4 linked regions of the Drosophila melanogaster genome follow. The protein of the gene in region 1 interacts with the protein of each later gene in a pairwise test. Each region holds a gene or a part of one and is shown in the gene's direction. Other genes may lie near its edges.

What was found.
Region 2: the proteins of CG13144 (region 1) and CAP interact in a two-hybrid assay, tested with the Drosophila melanogaster proteins (one large-scale study listed by BioGRID).
Region 3: the proteins of CG13144 (region 1) and lms interact in a two-hybrid assay, tested with the Drosophila melanogaster proteins (one large-scale study listed by BioGRID).
Region 4: the proteins of CG13144 (region 1) and CG10948 interact in a two-hybrid assay, tested with the Drosophila melanogaster proteins (one large-scale study listed by BioGRID).

What each region holds. Positions count from the first base shown.
Region 1 is NT_033779.5:10,489,384-10,493,379, reverse strand, and holds CG13144 (uncharacterized protein), read left to right. Parts: upstream 1-1,925; 5' UTR 1,926-2,015; coding exon 2,016-2,891; 3' UTR 2,892-3,480; downstream 3,481-3,996. Other genes in the region: Myo31DF (myosin 31DF), read left to right, coding at 1-591, 666-823, 881-1,049; CG6144 (uncharacterized protein), read right to left, coding at 3,672-3,996.
Region 2 is NT_033778.4:10,277,205-10,281,757, forward strand, and holds the start of CAP (CAP), read left to right. Parts: upstream 1-1,531; 5' UTR 1,532-2,136; coding exon 2,137-4,553.
Region 3 is NT_033778.4:20,555,296-20,560,454, forward strand, and holds lms (lateral muscles scarcer), read left to right. Parts: upstream 1-1,581; 5' UTR 1,582-1,662; coding exon 1,663-1,900; intron 1,901-2,791; coding exon 2,792-2,940; intron 2,941-3,096; coding exon 3,097-3,846; 3' UTR 3,847-4,658; downstream 4,659-5,159. Other genes in the region: Mgat1 (mannosyl (alpha-1,3-)-glycoprotein beta-1,2-N-acetylglucosaminyltransferase), read right to left, coding at 4,745-4,858, 4,912-4,999, 5,058-5,140.
Region 4 is NT_037436.4:12,844,117-12,852,147, reverse strand, and holds CG10948 (uncharacterized protein), read left to right. Parts: upstream 1-2,030; 5' UTR 2,031-2,112; coding exon 2,113-2,116; intron 2,117-2,356; exon of another isoform or gene 2,357-2,408; coding exon 2,409-2,990; intron 2,991-3,052; coding exon 3,053-3,778; intron 3,779-4,991; coding exon 4,992-5,098; intron 5,099-6,294; coding exon 6,295-6,414; intron 6,415-6,479; coding exon 6,480-7,091; intron 7,092-7,223; coding exon 7,224-7,487; 3' UTR 7,488-7,894; downstream 7,895-8,031. Other genes in the region: Wbp2 (WW domain binding protein 2), read right to left, coding at 426-839, 995-1,233, 1,351-1,650, 1,817-1,872.

The sequences.
Region 1 (3,996 bases):
TGGATTGTGAGGAGAAACTTTAAGAAGATGAAGGCGGCAATTACGATCGTGCGCGCCTATAAGGCCTACAAACTGCGTAGCTACGTCCAGGAGCTGGCCAATCGCTTACGGAAAGCCAAGCAGATGCGCGACTACGGCAAGAGCATCCAGTGGCCACAGCCGCCGCTCGCCGGACGTAAGGTGGAGGCTAAACTGCATCGTATGTTCGATTTCTGGCGAGCCAACATGATCCTGCACAAATATCCTCGCAGCGAGTGGCCGCAATTACGTCTGCAGATTATCGCCGCCACTGCGCTGGCCGGAAGACGACCCTATTGGGGTCAAGCGCGCCGCTGGGTGGGTGATTATCTGGCCAACTCGCAGGAGAACAGCGGATATGAAGCCTACAACGGAAGCATAAAGAACATAAGGAACCACCCCGCCGACGGCGAGACCTTCCAGCAAGTGCTCTTCTCCTCATTCGTCAAGAAGTTCAACCATTTCAACAAGCAGGCTAATCGCGCCTTCATCGTTTCCGATTCGACCATCCACAAACTGGACGGTATCAAGAATAAATTTAAGGACATGAAACGCACCATTAAAATTAGGGAGGTTAGTAGATAGTATAATAATATATTATATTATTATATTATAATATTAATTCCGTATCTTGACTTCGCTTACAGTTGACGTCCATTAGTGTCTCACCCGGCCGGGATCAACTAATCGTCTTCCACTCGTCGAAAAACAAGGATTTAGTGTTTTCCCTGGAGAGCGAGTACACGCCCCTCAAGGAAGATCGCATTGGCGAAGTGGTGGGCATTGTGTGCAAGAAATACCATGAGTAAGTGGAACGCCCATTTAGTATGTTCACCAGATATTAATATCAAATCCTTTCCAGCCTCACTGGAACCGAGTTGCGTGTGAATGTGACCACCAATATTTCCTGTCGCCTAGACGGCAAGGCACGCATTATTACCGTGGAGGCGGCGTCCAATGTGGAGGTCCCCAACTTCCGTCCTAAAGAGGGCAACATCATTTTCGAGGTGCCGGCGGCGTACTGCGTTTAGGCGGAATCAACTCCGCCCAACTGTATTGTAAATTATGGAACCTAGTTTTAAGACTGGGCTCATCACCCTCTTTTCTACTTGTGACCCATGTGTCCCACCAAGGACATGACGACTCTGTGTATACCGTGCCTTCCGCCAAACACCCGCTTTGTAGTTTTTAATACGTCATTCTATAGTTAGTCCTATCTGTTTATCTGTTCTGTGTGTGACGACATGATTGTAATTTTGTACATTTTTCTATTATGCGTATGCGTTAAGGCGATATTTATTTAACATCCATGTGAGAGGAATACCACCTCCGCCGGTTGAGCTGGCCGACGAAAAGAACGAAAAGTATTAAATGTACTTTGTGCATTTCTTCAAATATGATTCACAGCACACAAGAAACCATTTGTAACGATCAGTAAAATGTTTGTACTTAAAGCGAAAGATCACAAACATATGTGTGCCATTTGCAAATATTATTGAAATAATATATGAAATAAAAGATGTAAACTTTGTACTTGAGAAAGCTGGTTAATGACTATTTTTTTATATCAATAAGTTAAAGAGAAGTTAACTTACCAAACATAAGCATAATGTGCATAAGTTCCCTATCCCAACCTTGATCTGAATTGAACCCATTCAAAATTTCGGTCATTTCGTCATGAATTCCCCCAAAATGTGCGTTCGGCATTTGAATATCTGTGAGTTTCTGCATCTGTGAATCTTTTTCAAATGCTGCTTTAAATCCAAACGTAAAATCCGTACGCATTCGTATGCGAATGCGATCAAAATGTATTGGCAGAGACCGAAATAAAGTGCACATGGCTCGCCGCCGATTGATAAAAGATAAAAATAAAGAGATCGGCCTCTCTTTATGCGGAATGTGCGCTCGCATTCGCCTGTAAATTCTCGAAGGGAACGCGTGCAATTCGGAGCATCGAAGCACCCAAGGTGATTACATAAAGCCAGAAAACCAGAACCATGCAGAAGGCCATCAAGAAGGAGCTCAGCTTCTCGCTGGACACGCTGGAGCGCTATAGGGCCAAGTACGGACGCAGTGCATCGCTGGACACAAACGGCACACCAATTGCACACACAGACGGCGACCAGGCTGCTCCTGCGCCGCCACCGCCCTCGATCTTCACAAAGTCGTTGTCGCCACCAAAGATGACCAAGCTTCAGGAGTTGCAGCAGAAGAAGGAGGCCTATTTAAGGGCCAAGGAGCACGAGCGGGAAATGGAGCAGCTGCAGCGCACAGAAAGAAGGTCCATCATAAATGGTTCGGATACGCCCAAGCCCAAGACAGGCAGTCCAACGAGCACTTCACCGACTCCCAATGCAAGTTCCTCGTCAACCGCTGCCGTGGCTACCAAGACCTCCAGTCCAGCTGGCTACACCAACTGGTCGAATCACCATGCCACACTCTGCTCCCAGTCGTGGGTGGCCATCTCCGAGCTCATGTACTTTTGCGACAAGTATGAGTTCACCACCCTCAGCACACGCGATCTGAGGACGCACCAGGAGATCGTGGCCGAGGTGAGAGCTCTGCTGTCCGGCAAGGCGCCCTTCGATCAACGCACCCGCTTCCCGGGTAACATTCACGATCCGGAGAACTTGTGGGTTTGCATCGGTCGCTGTGCCAGCGTGGAATACCATCTGCAGCGCATCATCAGCATCTTTCGCAAACCTCTCAATCAATTGACACCGGACAAACAGCGAACGGTGCGTCAGAATTTCCACCTGGCGGTCAGCGAACTGCGGCTGGACATCTCGGCGAGGATTAGCGAGGTGCGGCTGTACGATCGCCTGGTCTTTGAGCGCGAGTTCCGGCTGGAGTGGCTGGATGAGGAGGCCTAGTGGATTAAATGGTTTAAAGGATGAGTTAGGTGGACAATAACGTTTATTGGCAATTCTTCGCTCTTTTTTGCGGTGCGCGGTGGAAAAAACGGTTACAAAAATACACTTGGACACAGGAGGCCGGAGCATGGAGCACACGACTATGGTAACCAGTGTGCTGGCTGCTCCATTCAACATACATATAAGGGGTATCTCGTCAACTGATCATCATTATGATTTCTTTGGCTGCAATTGATTTGCTTAGTAGTTAACGTAAGGAACATTTTCAATCAGAAAGATTTTACATAAATTCTGTGTAGATTCTATTGTACAAAGCATTAGGACAATCATAATCAAAATCAGTTGTCGCACATGCCCATATACAAAGTTAACCACATATTTCACAAATCTAGGCCATGGATTCCTGCAACAACTGCTCGCACAACTAAATCTAAAGGCCGCCGGCGGTCAGGTGGAATCTGAGGATACAGCTCGAGCCTGTCCGCCGATCAGGACAACTTATTGCTCCGTAATACGTAATACAAACATTTATATATATGTACACAATGCTAGCGGTATAAATAAAGCACTTTTGTGTGGGCCAACATGGATTTGCTTGCGAACAAGTGTGCTGCTAGTGCGGAGTGCTTTAACATCTAGCGGAAGATTCAGGTTGCAGATTATCATAGTTCTTTTTGGATCCCAGGGATCTCTTCAGTGGGTTCGTTTAACGTGCAGCTAGTCAACATCTGTGTAATCTGTAATCTTTAATGCCAAAGAACATCGAATGGCGGAATGAACCTAGCAGAACTTGAGCTTCATCTTGCTGGTCTTGGGCACATTACGGATGGTGAGGGAGATGCGCGGCGATCGGCGTACTAAGTGATCCCCGATCTTGTAGGTATTCTCGCACAGATCGTAGTTGGAGATGCGATCGCAGAGCACATCCTCGCTAGTCTCGGAGATGGCGTGCAGATAGTCGGTGTACAGCGTGTCCTTGAGGATGAGCAGGCTGCGCGGTTCCAGCAGCAGCTTGAAGAGCACTTCACGGGTCGTCTGATCTCCAGCTTCTGTTTCAGTTGTGGTGTCCTCACGCTTGACAAACTCCAGCACGGTATGAGCACCC
Region 2 (4,553 bases), on another chromosome or scaffold:
CAAAAATGCAAAATTTATCAGCGATAGCCCAGAAAAGATAACTAAAATGTGTGCTGTTCTACAGCAAATTGGGCGAGGCGTAGAAATCAATTTCAAATTTGTTGATATTACGGGGCAAGAAAACTGAAAATAGAAGCCGCTACAATGGATCCACAGATATAGATAGCGGCTACTTGGATGTTCGTCGTACGTCAGTGATTCAGGCAACTTGGTGGGGCCCAAACGAAATCCAAACGGAAACCGAAACCAATTGAGAATACACATTAAGTGAGTGGGTTTCTGAGGAGGGGAAAGCGATCGTTTAGTATTCCCTAATTGGTATACCCGTGTCTGTCACACTGTGCAGAAATTGCATAATGCCCGGGCCAAAACCACCACATCACGTGTCTGGTTCGTCTGGCACCTGACAGACCCGCGAAGATACTTCAGTTCGGATTGGTTCTGGTCGGAGGAAGTTAATGGAGATGATGGGGCTGTGGGCCAGACAGAACAAGAGAAATTGAAAGCCATTAAGTACCTTTAAAAATAAAAGCGGAATACTACTAACCGCATGGCCCACTGGGATGATACATGGGAGAGCTATACATACATATATGCGCGTGGATATATGTTGCTTCAATTATTCAAGAGTACACCGAAAACAGAGACTTGTGACCACAAAAAGCAAAGAAATTACGCACGAAAAATATCTTTAAAATGCCATAAGTTGTATATAGATACACAGCCAGCGCAGACTCATCAGATACACAAGCACACACATCGGCCAGAAGATACATATAAGCAAACTCGAACTGTGGCAAACTATTTCCGTATTGAGTTCTCTTCTTAATGCCCTGCATTGAGCCATTTTGGGTATATTGCACGAAAGTTTTTTAGATCAACCACTTAAAAAATTAAACAATTTAAGTGGTTGGAAAACGGTTTATCTGATTTCATTTGACCTCTAAATTCTTTATTTTCTCTTAATGTCTTACATCTTTCATTCCTGAGCATTTATCAACCGAAATTCAAGACAAAAATGTGTTTGTGACATTTAAAAAAATTTATTTTCGAAAGCATATATTCGTTAGCTTAAATTCCACAAACAAATTATGTACGTGTTCCAAAAACATTTTCTAATATTTATGAATGTGCCGAATATATTTTCGAGCCGTGCGTTTCTTTTCTGCTCATCTCGGATTTTATGAGTTTGTTTGGCTTGTGAAAATTGCATTGACCTAGAAGTCATATTGTTGTTTTTTTTTTCGGTCTCTTTGGTATTTTGATGTCTTTGGAATACCCTGCATTCTGATTCTGATTCTGTTTTGGTTTTGCACATTTCTCTCCCGCTCTCCCGTACGACTTTCTGTTTTCTACGTACATGTATGTATTGTGAACATGAGCATCGTTATGAATTCCCCGATTTTCCTTTTTGTGTGTATATTTTCAAATACTTGCCACTGTGCATCCGAATCGGGCTGTCTGTAAAAATGTGTGTGAGTGGGAGACTGGGGAGCTAGCTCCCGGCTGAGATCGTGGAAAGCCCACGGCCCATTCCTTGTCCGTCGGTCGCCAGCGCCACGAGGAACGGGAAGCGCGATCTTAAAAAATATTTAAAAAACTTTTCACCCCGTGTCCCCGTTGCTCAAATCGAACATACCCCCAAAACGAGAGCGAAAGTTTAGTATTCAAAACGCAATTTAATTTGGCGAAAAAATATCGAGGCAATCGGAGACAAAGGCGCGATCTCGGCGGCGAAAAATAAACCTAAAAACATAACGATTTCGGACGCGTGCCAGGCGGTGGGCGGTGGGCGGGGCGGCGTAGACGCCGGCAGCGGCAGCGACGTCGCTGTTTTATTTTTTTATTTTCTTTTTTTTTTCGATTTTGCCGGCTGTCGTCGCGAGCAGAATGCCGCCGGCTCTCGGTTCTGGTTCTCAGTTCAGTTCTGTTTGAGTTTCTGGCGACGAGTGACACACACAGAGGGAACTAGAAATAAACGACACCGAAAAACGAAACAACACTTAGTTGTACTGTAGATTCTGGCTGATTAAGAAACACGAAACACGAAGTACTCACTTACACACAAAAACACATATATATCTCACACACAAGGAAAACTGCATTAGTTCAGATCGAGCGAAAGTGCCGTAGACGATGCCCAATAACCGCAATCGTAATCGCAATCGCAATCGCAACAAACGCAATCGAAACCAAAATCAAAATCAGAATCCGAGCCAAAACCAAAACGAAAACCATCAGCAGCAGGCAGAAGGGGCGGAGGATCGGGAGGAGCAGCAGGATTTCCAAACTCAGATCGCAGTAGCGCAATCTTCTTCCTTCGTAGATGATAATGGAAATTCTGGCAGCGTTTCAAATGGGCCAACGGAAAACAGCGAAGAGGTGACGAACACTCTTGAGAAAACCGAAAAAAAAGAAGAAATATTCGAGCAACCAGCAACAGTCATCCAAAAAGAAGCAGATTCAGACGCAGAAATGGGTGCCAAAAACTCAAAACATCGCAAGGAAAAGTCCGATAAGCAGGCGTCTAATGGAAAATCTGAAGAGCAGGTGCGTCCACCTCCCACCATTATAAGAAGGCCACCCGGTAGCCCCCGGCAAGCCAAGGTCATAGTTCATCGAATTGTGAGGGAAGAGGACACGGCCAATGGCAAAGCTCAATCTCCAGAGCCACCCAAAGCCGTGGAATCTAAGGAGCAGCACATGGAGGTCGAGGATTCAAAGAAGGAGAAACCTGAAGCTCAGCAGGAGATTGAAACTAAGGAAGAACGGGAAAATGAACCGAGTCCAAAGGAACTTCCTGAATCTAGTCATCTTTCGGAGGACGCACAGCAGAAACATGTCGAAGTTGAAGAGAATCAACAAGTTTATGATGAAGTGGACTACTCAAAGGATGAGACCACTGACAATAATCCACAGCAAGAGCAACACGATTCAAAGGAACCGGAGCAATATGTGTTGCAACTCGAAAAGGCAATGGAATTTGTGGAAAATGCACATCAGCAACACGTTGCTGCCGTGCAAAGTTATCAAAAACAGAGAGACACTGAGCAAAATGCACAGCAGCAGGAGCAAAATGAAGCACAGCACCTACAGGAATCAACTAAAGCGCATCAGCAAAATATTGCAGTTCCACAAATCCTTGTAGATCCGAAGAAGAGAGAAGAGGGCCTCGCACAGCAACTGCATCATGATGTGAAAGAGGAACCCATTTTGAATAACGCCCAACAGCAAAATGATGACACTGCACCGAAATCCCCAAAGGAAGTAACAATAAAAGTTCAGTTTCAAACAGAAGATCCTTATTCCCAGCAGCCTCCTCCACAGAAGCCCACCTCCAAGGTGATTATCCACCAGATACACGTGGAAACCACCGACGAAGAGCAAAATGCCAAGCCCACTTTCGAGGAGGTTAGCAGCACTACCGGTTCTCTGGCCGGAACCCTATCTCCACCACCTCGTTATTTGGTGGAGTCGCCGAAGAACGTGTCAAGTGGCCAGTTTTCGAACTTCTCGCGCAATGTGCAAATCCAGGAAATGGAACTGAACAGCGACTTCAGCTCCGGGGAATTCAATTCCCTGCAGTCGCCGCTGGTATGCGAAGTAGACTCGGAATCAGAGGGATCGGTAGTCTTGGGACCGGAGCGATCGCCGTCGGATCAGCAGGTGCCGTCCAGCAGCCGAGTAGAGCAGCATGAGCAGGTGCGCCAGAAACGTGCCCAGTATCGGAACGCTTTGGAATCGCACTTCATGCCGCAGTTGCTCAATCCCCGCTATCTGGACAGCATCCTGGAGGAGAATGAATGGAGAAACTCCACCGCCTCCTCTGGCGGAAGCGATCAGACGGGGATCCGCACTCCCAAGCTAAACGAGACCTTTCCCAGGAGTCAGTTGGACTTTAGTCGCAGACACAAGCGTAGGGAGGAGGCACCGTCGCCTCTTAAGCTCGAAACCAAGCTGCTGGAGGAGTCAACCGATCTGGAGAGCTGCACCCGACTGCAGAGCGCCCTGTCTCCACAGTCTGAAGATGCGGAGCTAGTTTACCTAAGCTCCTCGGCCTCCAGCAGCGTCTCTGACCTCATGGAACTAGAACTAGAGCAGGCTGCCGCCTTGGCGGAGAGAGCCCTCGTAGACTTGGATACGGATGCCAGTCGGTTGATTGCTCGGCCGGATGATGAGATGAGCAGCACTAGTACCACTACTGCAGACAGGAGCGAGACGGAAGCGGAAACGGAAACGGAGACGGAGAGAGAGGGCGAGCAGAGTCGCGAGAGCACACCTGTTAACGCCAACCCGACGCTCGCCAGTTCGCAGTCTTCGCTGCTGAGCGCCGCAACGCCGACGCCGACGCCGACGCCCACTCCCGCCGATCGAGAACAATTAGCAAAAGATACAAATGTATCTGGTGGATCGACTGTTAGTTTCGGGGCAGCATCGCCGCTAGCGGCCACGCGCGAGGAGTTCGTTCGCAATATGGACAAAGTGCGCGAGTTGATCGAGATGACGCGGCGCGAACAGGAGCAAGGTGAACTACCGCGATCGCCGTCGCCGCC
Region 3 (5,159 bases), on another chromosome or scaffold:
TTATGCTGAGAATCTTATAATAATACTTAAACATATCTGCAAGTTCATTTCCTTCCTCAGATTTCTCTGATCCAGTTAGGAAACTTAATATATTGACTTAGCCAAAACAAGATAGAATAGAATACTTATGTTCAGATGTTCGGCTTGAATGTGATTCCATAGATACCCATGGATAGATAGGTTATAAAGTAGCCAACAAATTGGTAAATACTCAAAAATGACGAAGTCGAAACAAAGTCTGCATTCTGTTTGGCAGTGGAATTTGAAATATGGCAAGCAATAGTCGAATATTCATTAAGCGCAATTATGAAAATTAAGTTGTCATTTTGATTTGAGTGCCCGCGACACTCGGGCATGCGGCCTCATAAGCAGATCTAGATCCCCCCCGCATCCGCAACCGAATCCGAATCCCCGCCAGAATTCTCATTAAATTAAATCAAACTGACAGCCCGGCCGGCTAAATGGATGCCCTGCGATTCGTCCCCTTTCCCCTTTTTGCTCCGCCATCTCGGCGACTAATTAACGTGTTTTCAGATATTTTGTTCAAATCGCGCCTGAATAATGAAGACGTTATCATGGGGCATCCGCGCATCCAGGAATGGGCACCCTGTAGCCCAGTAGATGTTGTGGATTTGGCTGCTGGCCAATTGGAAACTAGTGTCAGCCAGGCCGCCGGCTAATTTCTCAGATCCTCCCCTCCATTCGGATCCTGAGTGCCCCTTTTCCATTTTCCATTCTGTCTGAATTATGTGTTCATAATTTCGAATTAATGAAATTTTTACAGGGGGCTTGGGATTGGGATTCAAAGAAATAGAAAGTTATAATATGAAATATCTGTAAGGAAGGTGTTCTAAAAACTCAACAATTAAGTTATGATTCAAAAAATGTTGTGCTTCAAAATTACTGTTTCTCAGATTTAAATTGAATATATTATACACATTAAAAATGTTTCTCAAGCTAGTAGAACCCAATTATGCATTGCGTTACAATCACTTAGACTAATGGCCTTGTATTACTTTGTTAAGAGATTTAAAAAATTCCAAAAAATCGACAAAGAAACCATTTGTACATTTGAATACAATTTTTTGAATGCTGCATTGTTTAAAGAATTCTGAATTAACCCAAAAGAGGACACGTGCCTGCACACCAAAGCACTGAAAACAAATCCAGTCAAAGAAATTGCTCGCCGTTCATTAATCAAATGGATGAAATATGTTGGCAAACGTATTAAATATATTTAGCAAAGCCATCGAAATATTAAATAGCGCTACTTGTAGACAATTAGCCAAAAATTATGACTTTTAATCACGGGCAAGGCGACAAAAACAATTTCGAAAACCCAGAAGACGGCGTTGAACGCGAGCCACGCCCCTCATCCCAAACATTTCACACATGTTTTAAAAATAACCGAACTTGTGTGCTGTCTTCAGTGAAAATCGAATAGTATGTTTCTGTTCCTTTCTGTCGTTCTATTTGCGCATATGGTGTGAGCGGTGCGGAGATATATGATTTTAGGCTCCGCCCCGCCAGGCGATCATCTTGAAAAATCGGCCAGTGAGCAGGATGCTCCGCATATTCAAATTAGTTTTCCGTAAGATCTCCACGCGCGCTGTTGTCTCCGGAATATCTTCAAAATATATATCGCTCGCAATCGGCGGAAACATGAATTCGCAATCGGCAGTGCGTCGCTATCCACACAGTTTTTCCATCGAACAAATTCTGGCCAAGCCGGAAATGCGCAGCTCCACTTCCTTTGAGGACTCCGTGCAGGATGAAAGCGGTCGCGGTGGCAATTGTCTCGGTGCTTCACGGGCTTCCAGTCCGGCAACATCGAGTTGCTTGGATGACAACATGGACGACGGCAAAAGTGATATCGATTTGGCCTCAGATGATGGAAACGGTGCGTATGATCGATATGCCGGAATATAAGCTTTACAACGACGAGAATTTTGGTGTCTGGAATTGGATTTGGGATCTAAAAACTTAACTTAAAGCTCAATTGGATCCTTATTAAATAGCAAATATACAAAATATAGATTTATACTGAACTTCATCAGGATAAATAGCACCAACAGCCAAATAGTCAGTGCTTTAGTGCTTTTAAGTGTAGTATTATCAAGGTTCAAGGAATTATCAAGGATCTTTCAAATAATACAGTTACAATATACAAATTTTAAATTCTGAAAAAAAATGTCTCTAAAAGATGATTTACCTCCTAATGGAATCACCCATAACGAGCTCAGCACAGCCGTTCATTATTGTATGTAAATATGCAATGAGTTTCCCACCTGAACGAATGAGTGAGTGCCTATGGCTGAATGATCTCATCTGTCATCCGTGCGATCAAGAAACAAATGATCAGAAATTAGCTTCTGGGTGACAGGGAATAAGCCATCCATTCCATATCCACATTTTCGTCGACACCAACGCAGTCGACTAATGATGCAAATGTCACAAGCGAACAAAGATCGCTGGCGATCTCAAAGGAGATATTCTTCCACCCGTTAAGAAGGAATTTATATGGCTATTTGTTTTCGGTCGGCCAAGAGAATGTATGCCAAAATGGCCAATTAGACGCCTTGGCTAAGTGAAATGCAACAGTGTGATTTGCAATTTGCCAGGGGTTTTGCGGTGCGACGGGGCATTTTACATACACATACAACTGTGCCAACAACGGATCGACAAATTACCATTAGGCGAAAATAGTTGGCACCGCGCGCCGGATTGCCCGCTGTCGGTAGCAATAAATGTCTAATTGGGATTTCGATTTCCCACTTTGATTCCATTGCAGGCCTTGGTGATGACCGCAAAAAGCGACCGCGTACCGCCTTCTCGGCAGCTCAAATCAAAGCACTGGAAACGGAGTTCGAAAGGGGAAAGTATCTTTCGGTGGCGAAGCGAACTGCACTGGCCAAGCAGCTGCAGCTCACAGAAACGCAGGTTAGTTGTGGAATCTATCAAAAAATTTAATTACTACCCAAAAAAGTTTGCCATTCTATCTAAAAGCGATTAATAACATGAAATGAAATCCCTTGTATCTATGAGATACAATTGGCATTCCTCGTAAATAATTCATTCATTCATTTCACTTTTCAGATCAAGATCTGGTTCCAAAACCGCCGCACCAAGTGGAAGCGCAAGTACACCTCGGACGTGGAAACGCTGGCCTCGCACTATTACGCCCAGCTGGGTATCGGGGGATTGGCCAGGCCGATGGTGGTTGGTGATCGCCTTTGGCTCTTTAGCCAAACGCCAACGGGTCCCACGCCCATTCAGTCCATTATGCTAAATGGCAGTGGCTCCGCTGCACCCATGGCCTCAGCAACGACGGCCACCGGCTCACCCATGCGTCCGTACGCGACTAGCGGCGGAATGCCACCGTTGCCGGGTCCCAGTGTGATGGAGAGTGCCCGTAATGCCATACTGGCACGTGGACAACCCTTGAACTTCGCCCTGCCCTTTGGCGTGGCTAAGCCGCCGGCGGGTGGTGTGCCTGCGGCCAGCTACATCCCTCGCTGCAAGCCGTATGCGACCAGCTATGTGGACTACGCGGCGTCACTGCCAACGAACGAGAGCTATCTGCAAATGAAGTACGCGACGCTGCCGCCGGAAGCGGAAAGCGGCGCCTCCAATGGCCTCGCCGAACTGGAACGCGTCTTTGGGGATGCCAATGCCAACTTTCTGCAACAACGCAGCACGCCAGTCGCTGGAACAGCCACAGCCTACGGCCACGATGGATTAAATCAGGCGCAGCGGAGCCGCAGACCCACACAATCGGAGTCCGAGTGCAGCGACATTGACTGCGAGCATCTGGACGAGGATGAGGAGCCACCTGCTGCGGAGTGAAAAGGCGATTGGTTGTCTTTAGAATTTATGTTCCGTACGTCTCTCATACACACAAAAATATGCTCATACAAAGTGTAGTCATAGGGGGTAGTAGAGTAGGTGTCCTGTCTGGGTTGATTCCATTACAACTAGCTGAGAGTGGCACACTTTCAGATCTGGCCGGGATTACTGGCGTACCCCTGGTGGCTCAGCACTGGTCTAGTTTACGTTGTGGTTCTAGTACTAGTACTAGCGCTAGTTATTGCTATTCTATGTTACATTGTGTGGGTCGGGTACTGTTTACTGACTGGCTCTCAACAATTAATAAATGTAAATTAAATAATCAAAAATCACAAATATTACACGTCCGTTGCCGTTAGAACTCTAGTTGGATCAACTTAAATGCTACAAATTACACGCTGCATACTATAACTTAACCATTGCTATAACTATTTGCAATTTAACACGATAAATTGAGAGAGATAGACAGATAGAGAGAGCTGTAACAAAAGCGAACGACACTGACTTATTTACAATTCATTGCGTTGCTTGTGTGGCTGGTGTGCTAGAATGGAACACTTTTGGCTCTTGCCACACACAGTTCGGTTCGGTTGACTACTATACATAGTGGAGACTCATTTGATTTGATTTTGTTACGCCAACAGTAGGTCCGTAGGCTAGGGATCTGGAGCAGACGAATTGCGTTTTCTATCAGAAATCAGGGCTAGTACTCCAAGTACTCCTGCCTACGCGATGGCTGCGAACAGCGTCTACTGTTCGAGGAGATTCCATAGTTACAACTTAGCTAATTGGTCAAATAAAAATTAAAACTCATAGGGCTATTTTTGGTATTGCAAGCACGCGGAGCTAGCTGCGTGGTAATGGAAGTGGAGCTGGCGGTACTCTGTCCTTAGCGTCGTTAGCTCCAAGAGAGCTCGTAGCCCTTCCAGTTGGCGTTGGGTGCCAGATGCACGCGCCGTTTGTTGTAGTAGAAGGAGACGATGCCATGGTAGGCAGTCCGCGGAACACCGCTCTACAAAGATTAAGAATAATCATAGTTTCAAGCACATAGATTGATTGATCTACCTTGAAATCATCCATAAGACCCAGCATCTTAGTTGTCCGCTTGTACTGCTCCCTAGTAGTGTATTGAATGCGAACTGGACCTTCGATTCTGCAACACCATAATTGGAATTATGTAGATACTTTCTATATATCATATATCAACTCACCTAATCAGGTTTCGCCGCAGCTCATCGTACGTAACAATGGGATACGTATAAACGCGCCGCAGAAACGTGTTATCGTAATTGTCCTGAACATGAAATAGTTGT
Region 4 (8,031 bases), on another chromosome or scaffold:
TGGATATTAGGTGAGAAACCTGATAAGGGAACTCAAAAATGGGAAAAAAACAAATATAAACACTACCAAAAAAGGAATATTACACCGTCAAATGAATTATGCTAACAAATCATTTATTATTTGGACAAATTGAATAATTTTGTAAGTGAGAAAAATAAACAGAACGAATGCTTCTGAATGGTTTTTGGATGCCTCTTGAATACTTTGAGCGTCCGAAAGCAAAAGGTGGTTCATGATACTTCAATTAAATTCTTGATAACATTTTAGATCTTTAGATGTTTCGACTATTTTAAAGATGTTCATAATTTTCTTGTCCTTTTGCTCATATTTTTTTATCTTTTGCTAGAATAAAACCAATTTAGAAATGTGCATTGTGGGAGGGAAATGTTAAAAAAGTGATGAATGGGATGATGAGTTCTACTCACTTCCAGGGGGCAAGCTGAAGCCCATAAAGCTGGCTCCAGATGCGGCGGCTCCTCCAGCTGCTCCTGCTGCTTGTTGTCCGGGTGGCGGTGGTCCACCTGGATAGCCATTTGGATTTCCATTCGGTTGCTGAAATCCGGGGGTATTAAATCCGCCAGGAACATTGCCGTATCCACCATATGGCTGTGGACCATTGTACGTCTGAGCCGGAGCGGCGTACGGCGGCTGTGGTGGACAATTTGGGGCACATGAAGCGTACGGCGGAGGTTGGACATAGCCACCGGCCCATCCTTGTGGCCCATAGCCCGGCTGCTGTTGTTGCTGCTGCGGCGGCGGCGCTGAAAAACCATACCAATTGGGTTCATTCGACGACGGTGCCTGCGGCTGTTGCGGTGCTGGTTGGTGAGCAGGTGGTGCTAAGACGAAAAAGAGAGGAGTGCCCCATTGGGTTAAACGAAGCGAGTGCGTAGCGTGAATTTCGTGGGTAAGCCAGGTTGCCAATTCGCGTAGCCAGCGTGCCAAAACAAAAGCCGAGTATAGATTGGGTAAAGTGCACGTGCGTTTAACTTACCGATACCCGGATACGGCGGCGGATTGTCGCTCATATAGACCGTATTCGGCGCAGGGCCGCTGAATGCGTCATGCTGCGGCAGCCAGCCATAGTAGCCAGGTGGTGGCTGATATGCCGGCGGTGGTGCCTCATTCCAGGATCCAGCCGGCTGATATGGTGGCGGATCATCACCAGCCAGACCACCGCGGTGGTAGTTGTTCATCGCCGTCTTGGCGGAGCGCAGTAGAGCTTGACCATATCTATAAGAAATGGACTTGTTAATCAGAACATTATATATTCTCTTGAGTCTATTCAGTATTAAGACTTATCAAGAGATCCGTCTAATTAGTTTTAATTTAGGTGCACAATGCACTTACTCAATTGCGCCGCCTGCCTTGAAATGGAGCTTGAACTTGACCTCGCCCACGTAGTTTCCATTTGGCTGAGCGCGAACCTTTCCCTTGATGTAGTTGGCCCCGAAAACGGGCTGTTCGATTTCCACATCCGAAAGAGCAACAAACGGGGCACTGAACGACTGCATCGAATCCGAGGACTTCTTGCTATTGAAGATCATTCGGTGGGAGGTGAGATAAATCCTGCCACCTTTGGAGCCCTTGAAGATGGGATTGTCCTGACCGGAGAACTCCATGGAGACACTGTCGCTGTGGAGCAGTATGCTGAAAGTGTAAAAGCAGTTAATTTGTGTGCCATATTTCTATCTTATCGCTGGAACATAGGCTAATTTCCTTTCAAATCGCCAGCCACACGTCAGTGTTTACATTTATGACGTCAGGGATGTTCAGCATTTTCAGTGTTAATTAAAGGACTTTTCCGTTAACTTACTACTCTCCAGCATGGATGAGCACGCCATTGTTGGCGTGAGCCGTATTAACCGACATGTCTCTTTAATTTTCCAACTGTTTTGAGTCCACAAAAATTTGCAAAAATTTCATACAACTACGTTTTGTTTTTCTAGAAAACTGACGACAGCTGATGATTCATAGTGAAAAGTGTGGCAGCGCCGAAATTATCGGATATCGATACTCTTTTTAGGGTGACCAGTACGAGCAGTCACTCATCTCTAAATATAATTAGTTTTTTTTTATACATACCTGTCGTACAATTACTGGGGCGTTAATATGCGTAAGTGATAAGATAATGATTTTAAAAAGCCCACAAAATGTGTAGCAAAGAAAATGGAATAAATAGAAAGGTCTGGGAAATTAAGAAACAACAGTATTTGCGGTGAATTCGACTTTTATCAGCAGGTGGGACTTACGCCATTTTGGGCACTTGCCACCCCCCAGCTTTTATTTCCTTTTTTTACCTATCGAAAATTGAGGTGCTCAGCTGATTGGTTATTTTGTTTTGCTACCGGCTTCGTTTGGGTTGTTATCTCTTTTAAAGCAAATTACAAACTGTGTACATTTTGCAGTACCGCTCTTTGGGACCATGCCGAATGGCGTCAGTTTGCCAAATCACCCGAATTTCCTCAACCAATTGGCAGCTGCAATTTCCACGGCGGCCTCGAGCACATCTGTCGTGGGAAATCCCTCTTCGCCCCCCAAACAGATCCAGAATAAGATGGCAAAACAACAACAACAACCACAGGGCAGTGCGCCCATGGATCTGGAGAATGAGAACGAACACTCTGCGGATGTGAGCTCCTCGACGATGCACAAGGAACCCAAGTTGCAGGCCACATCCAACTCGCTCACTCTGCCCGATTCGACGCAACTATACCTGAATGGCTTGGTGCACACACCACCTGGATATCTGTATTTTCCGGCCACCCAAGCGGGTGGTGCTACTGCACCCGGCAATCCATCCTCGGCTGCAGGGGGATCCACGCCGGCAGCTTCAGCAAACAGCACCGCCAATGCGCAAATGCTCATGGATCCTACGGCCATGATGGCGGCGGCGATGCAACAAATGCAACAGATGCACTATGCAGCGGCAGCAGCAGCCGGAATGACCACAGAAACCGGAGCTGGACTAGAAGCAACTCTTAATGCGGGTAATGAAAGCAATACCAAATTGGAACCTTAAATAAACATTCTAATAAAAACATACTTTTAGATGGCGTTACACCAGCTGGCCTCAAGGAGGTGATCAAGACCAAGAACTGCATCCTGTTTCCACCTAATCCGAACGCACCTCCTCCCACAATAAGGGAGCGACCACCAGGATGCCGGACGGTGTTTGTGGGTGGACTGCCGGAAAACATAACCGAAGAAGTGATCCGGGAGATCTTCGAATCATGCGGCGAGATCACCACATTGCGCATGTCCAAGAAGAACTTTTGCCATATTCGCTACCGCCAAGAGGGTGCCATAGATAGGGCCATCTACCTATCCGGCTATAGATTGCGTATATCAGCGCTAAATGAACCTCCCAACTTTGGACGCCTGCATGTGGACTACGCACAGGCACGGGATGATCAGTATGATTACGAGTGTCGACAGAGACAGCATCAGAGGGAACAGCGTCATCGTGAGCGCATGTCGATGGACAGGATGCGATCGCAGTCGCCGCCACCAATACCGCACTACACGGATCACGAGGCTACTACTGTTGCGGAGCACCTACGCACCAACGAGACTTTTGTAAAGGCCATTCAAACGATTACCGCGTGGCTGGAGCGGGGAGATTGCACTAAGCGGAACGCCAATGTCTTCTATTCGATGATCCAGAGCACTCATGCCCATGTACGAAGACTCCATGCAGACAAACTGCAACTGGAGGAGGATCTAAAGAAGGCCAGAGACAGCTATCGCAACCAAATGGGCACCATGTCCACGCAATGTAAGTATTTCGGCCTTTCAGCCGGAAGATCAGCTTTCTTAGCTCTAGTCTAGACGGGAAACTAGGCGCCGATCCCACTTTGAAATCCTATTTTTCTGTTTACGTTGCGCCCGGGTTAGCCTTTTAGCGTCTGTATATCTGAACAATCTACCAGCGTACTACACATCCAAACACCTACACCTACACTGAAAACACACCATACCCATCCTACACAATATTTAGCAAATCTAGTCATCGAATTATTAAATGCCAAACTCCACATATGAAACTACCGTCTAAAATTTGCTCGCCAATGGTCGCTGGAGCAAGCCCAATGAATCCAAGCAGGATCAGGTAAAGACTAGCCGAAAAAGACGAAGCCCAAGGCCGCCGCACAGCAAAAGTCAGTGGATGAGGCGACAATCGAGATTGCCTTTGTTCTAACATCTGAAAATGTTTTGTGATGGTATATGGAGCCTTAGCACAAGCATTGGCATTTGAAAGATTAATGCATTTACTAGGAAGTTCAGTCGTTTTAATACGTTTTACTAAATTATTACTGCCAATTAACTACCGCTAATAAGTATTAAATCAAAAACCCGCTTAAATTATCAATTATTTTGATAATTAATATTAATGTAAAACTATAAAACTACATTTCGCATTCATTTAACAGTTTGATTTCCTGATTAAAATGGAATATCATTTCTTATTCAATCATGTTTATTTAAAAAGTTGGTCGCCCTTTTCACTGATTCGCTCCACTGTGCGGCTGATCCTCACTCACTTTCACTGTGTCTCGACACCACCACAAAAGTCTTAAGTCTTATTTGGCCCAAAAGGTTTGTAAGCCGCAAGGCAGAGAGCAAATTGAAACAATTGGTACAGTAATGGATTGAGAGGTCCTTGTAGAGCATCTCAGATAATCTCAGACTCGGACAAACGTAAAGATAGGTAATCACGCTGTTGTATTCTCTCTAGATTGTACCTAATATATCAACCTTAAATAATCGTAACTACTCTAATTAAATAATTGCTATGCGAGGGTTTCTCCTGTAGTTTAATTTCAATTTTTCATTTCTCACTCATTTTATTCGCAAAGAGAACAAGTCTAGTTTGACAAAGGTGAAGAGCAAAACTGAAAACCAATCCAGATAAACAAACAATCAAAAAAAAAAAAAAATACCCTCTGTCCTCCCTTAATATTATTATATATTATTGCATTATTGTTCAGTCACTCAGATTGAAAAAGTGTTCAATGCCGCTAGTCACAAGAAGGTTTGGGACCATTTCACCAAAGCCCAAAGAAAAAACATCGATCAATGGAAGAAATTAGCCACGGTACGTACTAAAATGTTCAAATAATCAAATACGAACAATTTCAAAGATGTTGCAAATTGTGTAAAAACAAAAAATACATTTATTGTCCAATAACTTCGATTCACTGTTGTATCTCTTGGTTTCATAATGTTGTATCCGTTTATGTTGATGTTGTTATCATCGTTGTGGTGTTGCAGTAGATTTCTAACCATTTTACTAACGCAATTTCTGTTATCATTCAGCATGTCGCCCATTCACCCGTCCTATATAATCATATGGTACTATTCCATTGGTGACGCTTATAGCTGCTAATTGCTTTTTATTAATTGTTAATTTCTTTTATTTGTCCCGTGCATTAAGACTCTTTTTAGCTGTTTGTGTTTTTGATTATCGAAATTTCCAAATCAGTTGTGATGTCACTAAAAAAGAAACAATATTAATATTAATGTAATTTGCAAGCTTAAAATGTACTATCGTTTAAATTATGTAGAATTAGATATATGAATAAGATTATTTTAAGGGAAACTGTTAAAAAACTAGTTAACTATATTACTATATTTCTAAGAATTCATTTTACAAAGTAAAAGTGCGTTTTTTAAACAGTTTCCTGATCATAAACACTCATTAGTATCTTTCTAAATATGAGGTCTTTTACTTTTATTGCTTTCGCTCTTGATCTGTAATGCTTTGGTCTATCTTTTCTTGGCTTTCAAGTATCATTTGTTGTTGTACTATCTCTATTTTTAACTAAGCATTTGCATAACATTTCCGATACGCTTTAAATACATCGAACTAAAAGTAAACCTTAGCCGAGTGTCCACAAACCTTCAAGTTTCTATGGGAAATTGAATTTTATAGAAAACGAGGAAGGTTTTGATGGGCACTCAGTGAAATCGATTGGTTGTGGTAAATAGCAAAAGGAAGAACTAAAAACATTGCTGCTGTGAAACATAATTTGTGCAACAAATACAAATTAATTTTTAATAGCAAAAAGAAATTAATCGAAACAAATTCTAAAACTTTTTGAAAATGTGGCGAGGTAAGTAAGCGGACCAGAACAGAGTCGTAAGCAAGGAAACAAATTTGATGCATTATTTAAATACACAAATTTTATAGCTAGGTTATAATAGTGTAAGCAATGGTACTCAAACCAAACGAAACCTATCCAACTAGTAGCAACGGATAATTAATTGAAGTTCCTTTCGCATGCCACGCAGGAACTTCGAACTGTCCAGATCACAGATGATGATGAAATGGAAATCTCCGACGATGAGCGGGACTACGATAGACGCGGACACAGCGCCAAGCGAATTCGCTACGACAGTGATGGCTTAAAAGTATGTTTATCAAATAGTTTAGTATAAGTAACTTGAAATAAAATAAAGATTTTAAATTGGATCAGGACGAGAACGACTCTCTACGCTGTCAACTGGAGGCCATTCGTCACGAGATGACGCTGGAGCGCAGTGATTATGTTCAGCGCGAAAAGCAGATAAAGGTACTTCAGGAAACCATTCGCAACATGCAGACCCAGTTGCTGCAGACGAAGCTACGCGAACAGAAGGACAACAAGACCATTGAGCAGTTGGAACGAAATCTCAAGGATGCCGGCATTAAGCAACTTCTGTTGAAGACCAAAATTAAGGAAACAGTGGACAAATTAAGGGACAAAGAGGCAAATAGCGCTGGAGCCTCAAATGCTTCAAACGCCTCAAATCTCGACTACAGCAGCGGGGATTCGTGTAGCCGGGAAGGCACAGAAATTATCCGCCCACAGGCAGAACCGGAAATAATTGATATCGATAAAGTGGATGATGATGTCCGCATCATAGAGCACCAAAGCGGTGTGGTGGAGATACACGAGATCGAGGACGATGAAAAGCAGGAGCCCGCTAAGGATTCTACGAAAAGCAAAGCAAATGAGTCAATTATGGAAAATGTTTCAAAGTCGAATCATGAGGAGACTATAAACAAAAGCAGCAAAGAGCAAATCCCAACAGTGGCCGCGGAAGAGGTTAGTAATGAGAATTATTTGTGTAACTATATATATATATAGATTTAATTACTTAATTTATCTTAGTTTTACATGCATCTAATTATTTCATACATTCCCTTGCATATTTCTAATCACTATTCCTTGTTTTAGGTGACTTTCAAGTCGCTAGTCTTGTCTGAAGCCAAGATAATTGCTCTGGCCTCAGCCTATCTGGTGCTGCATCCCTATGGCGTTGAAATCGCCAACATAGCCAGTTACTTAAGCGAAATGCTGCGCAATAACGCTGCCCCCAGTAACCATGATGATCTAGCCAATATACTCGGAAAGTACACAAATCTCTTCAAGCCGGAAAAGGAGAAGTGGAGATTCTGTGGCTTCAGCGAACCAACTGAATCTCAGACGGAGTCAAAGTGAGGGGATGAATGCGGAATGTAGACTCGAATAAGATGACAATTAAATGCTTTAATTATCTTACAACTATATCATAATGAGTAGCGAGTAAGCGGAGGAAAGTGAAATGTTAACCAAAGGAAAGACGCAAGTTTTTCAATGAAATCACGACTTAATGAGACCAGATCCAGGTTTAAGGGCAAGTACTCGAAGTTAACTCAATCGGAAGAAAGACACCACAAACTAACTACCGTTTCAATTATTTAAATAACTCAACCTAAAGAATATATATACACTTAAGCTAAATGAATTCAATATATACAAAATATATATACATCAATATTTTAAATAAACTGAGAGGCAGAAGGTCGCGTTGCTTTTGTTGAACGGAAGCGAAAGAATGGAACCAAATAAATTGTATGCTAAACTACAAAGAGTTTTCTTTAATTTGAATCAGATAAAATATTTGGTTAATGACACAAACACACATCTTTCAAGAGAGCTTAATCTTGAAATCGAATACAGCATCTTAAATATTTTGAGATTTCCATACTTATTTTTAAAATTG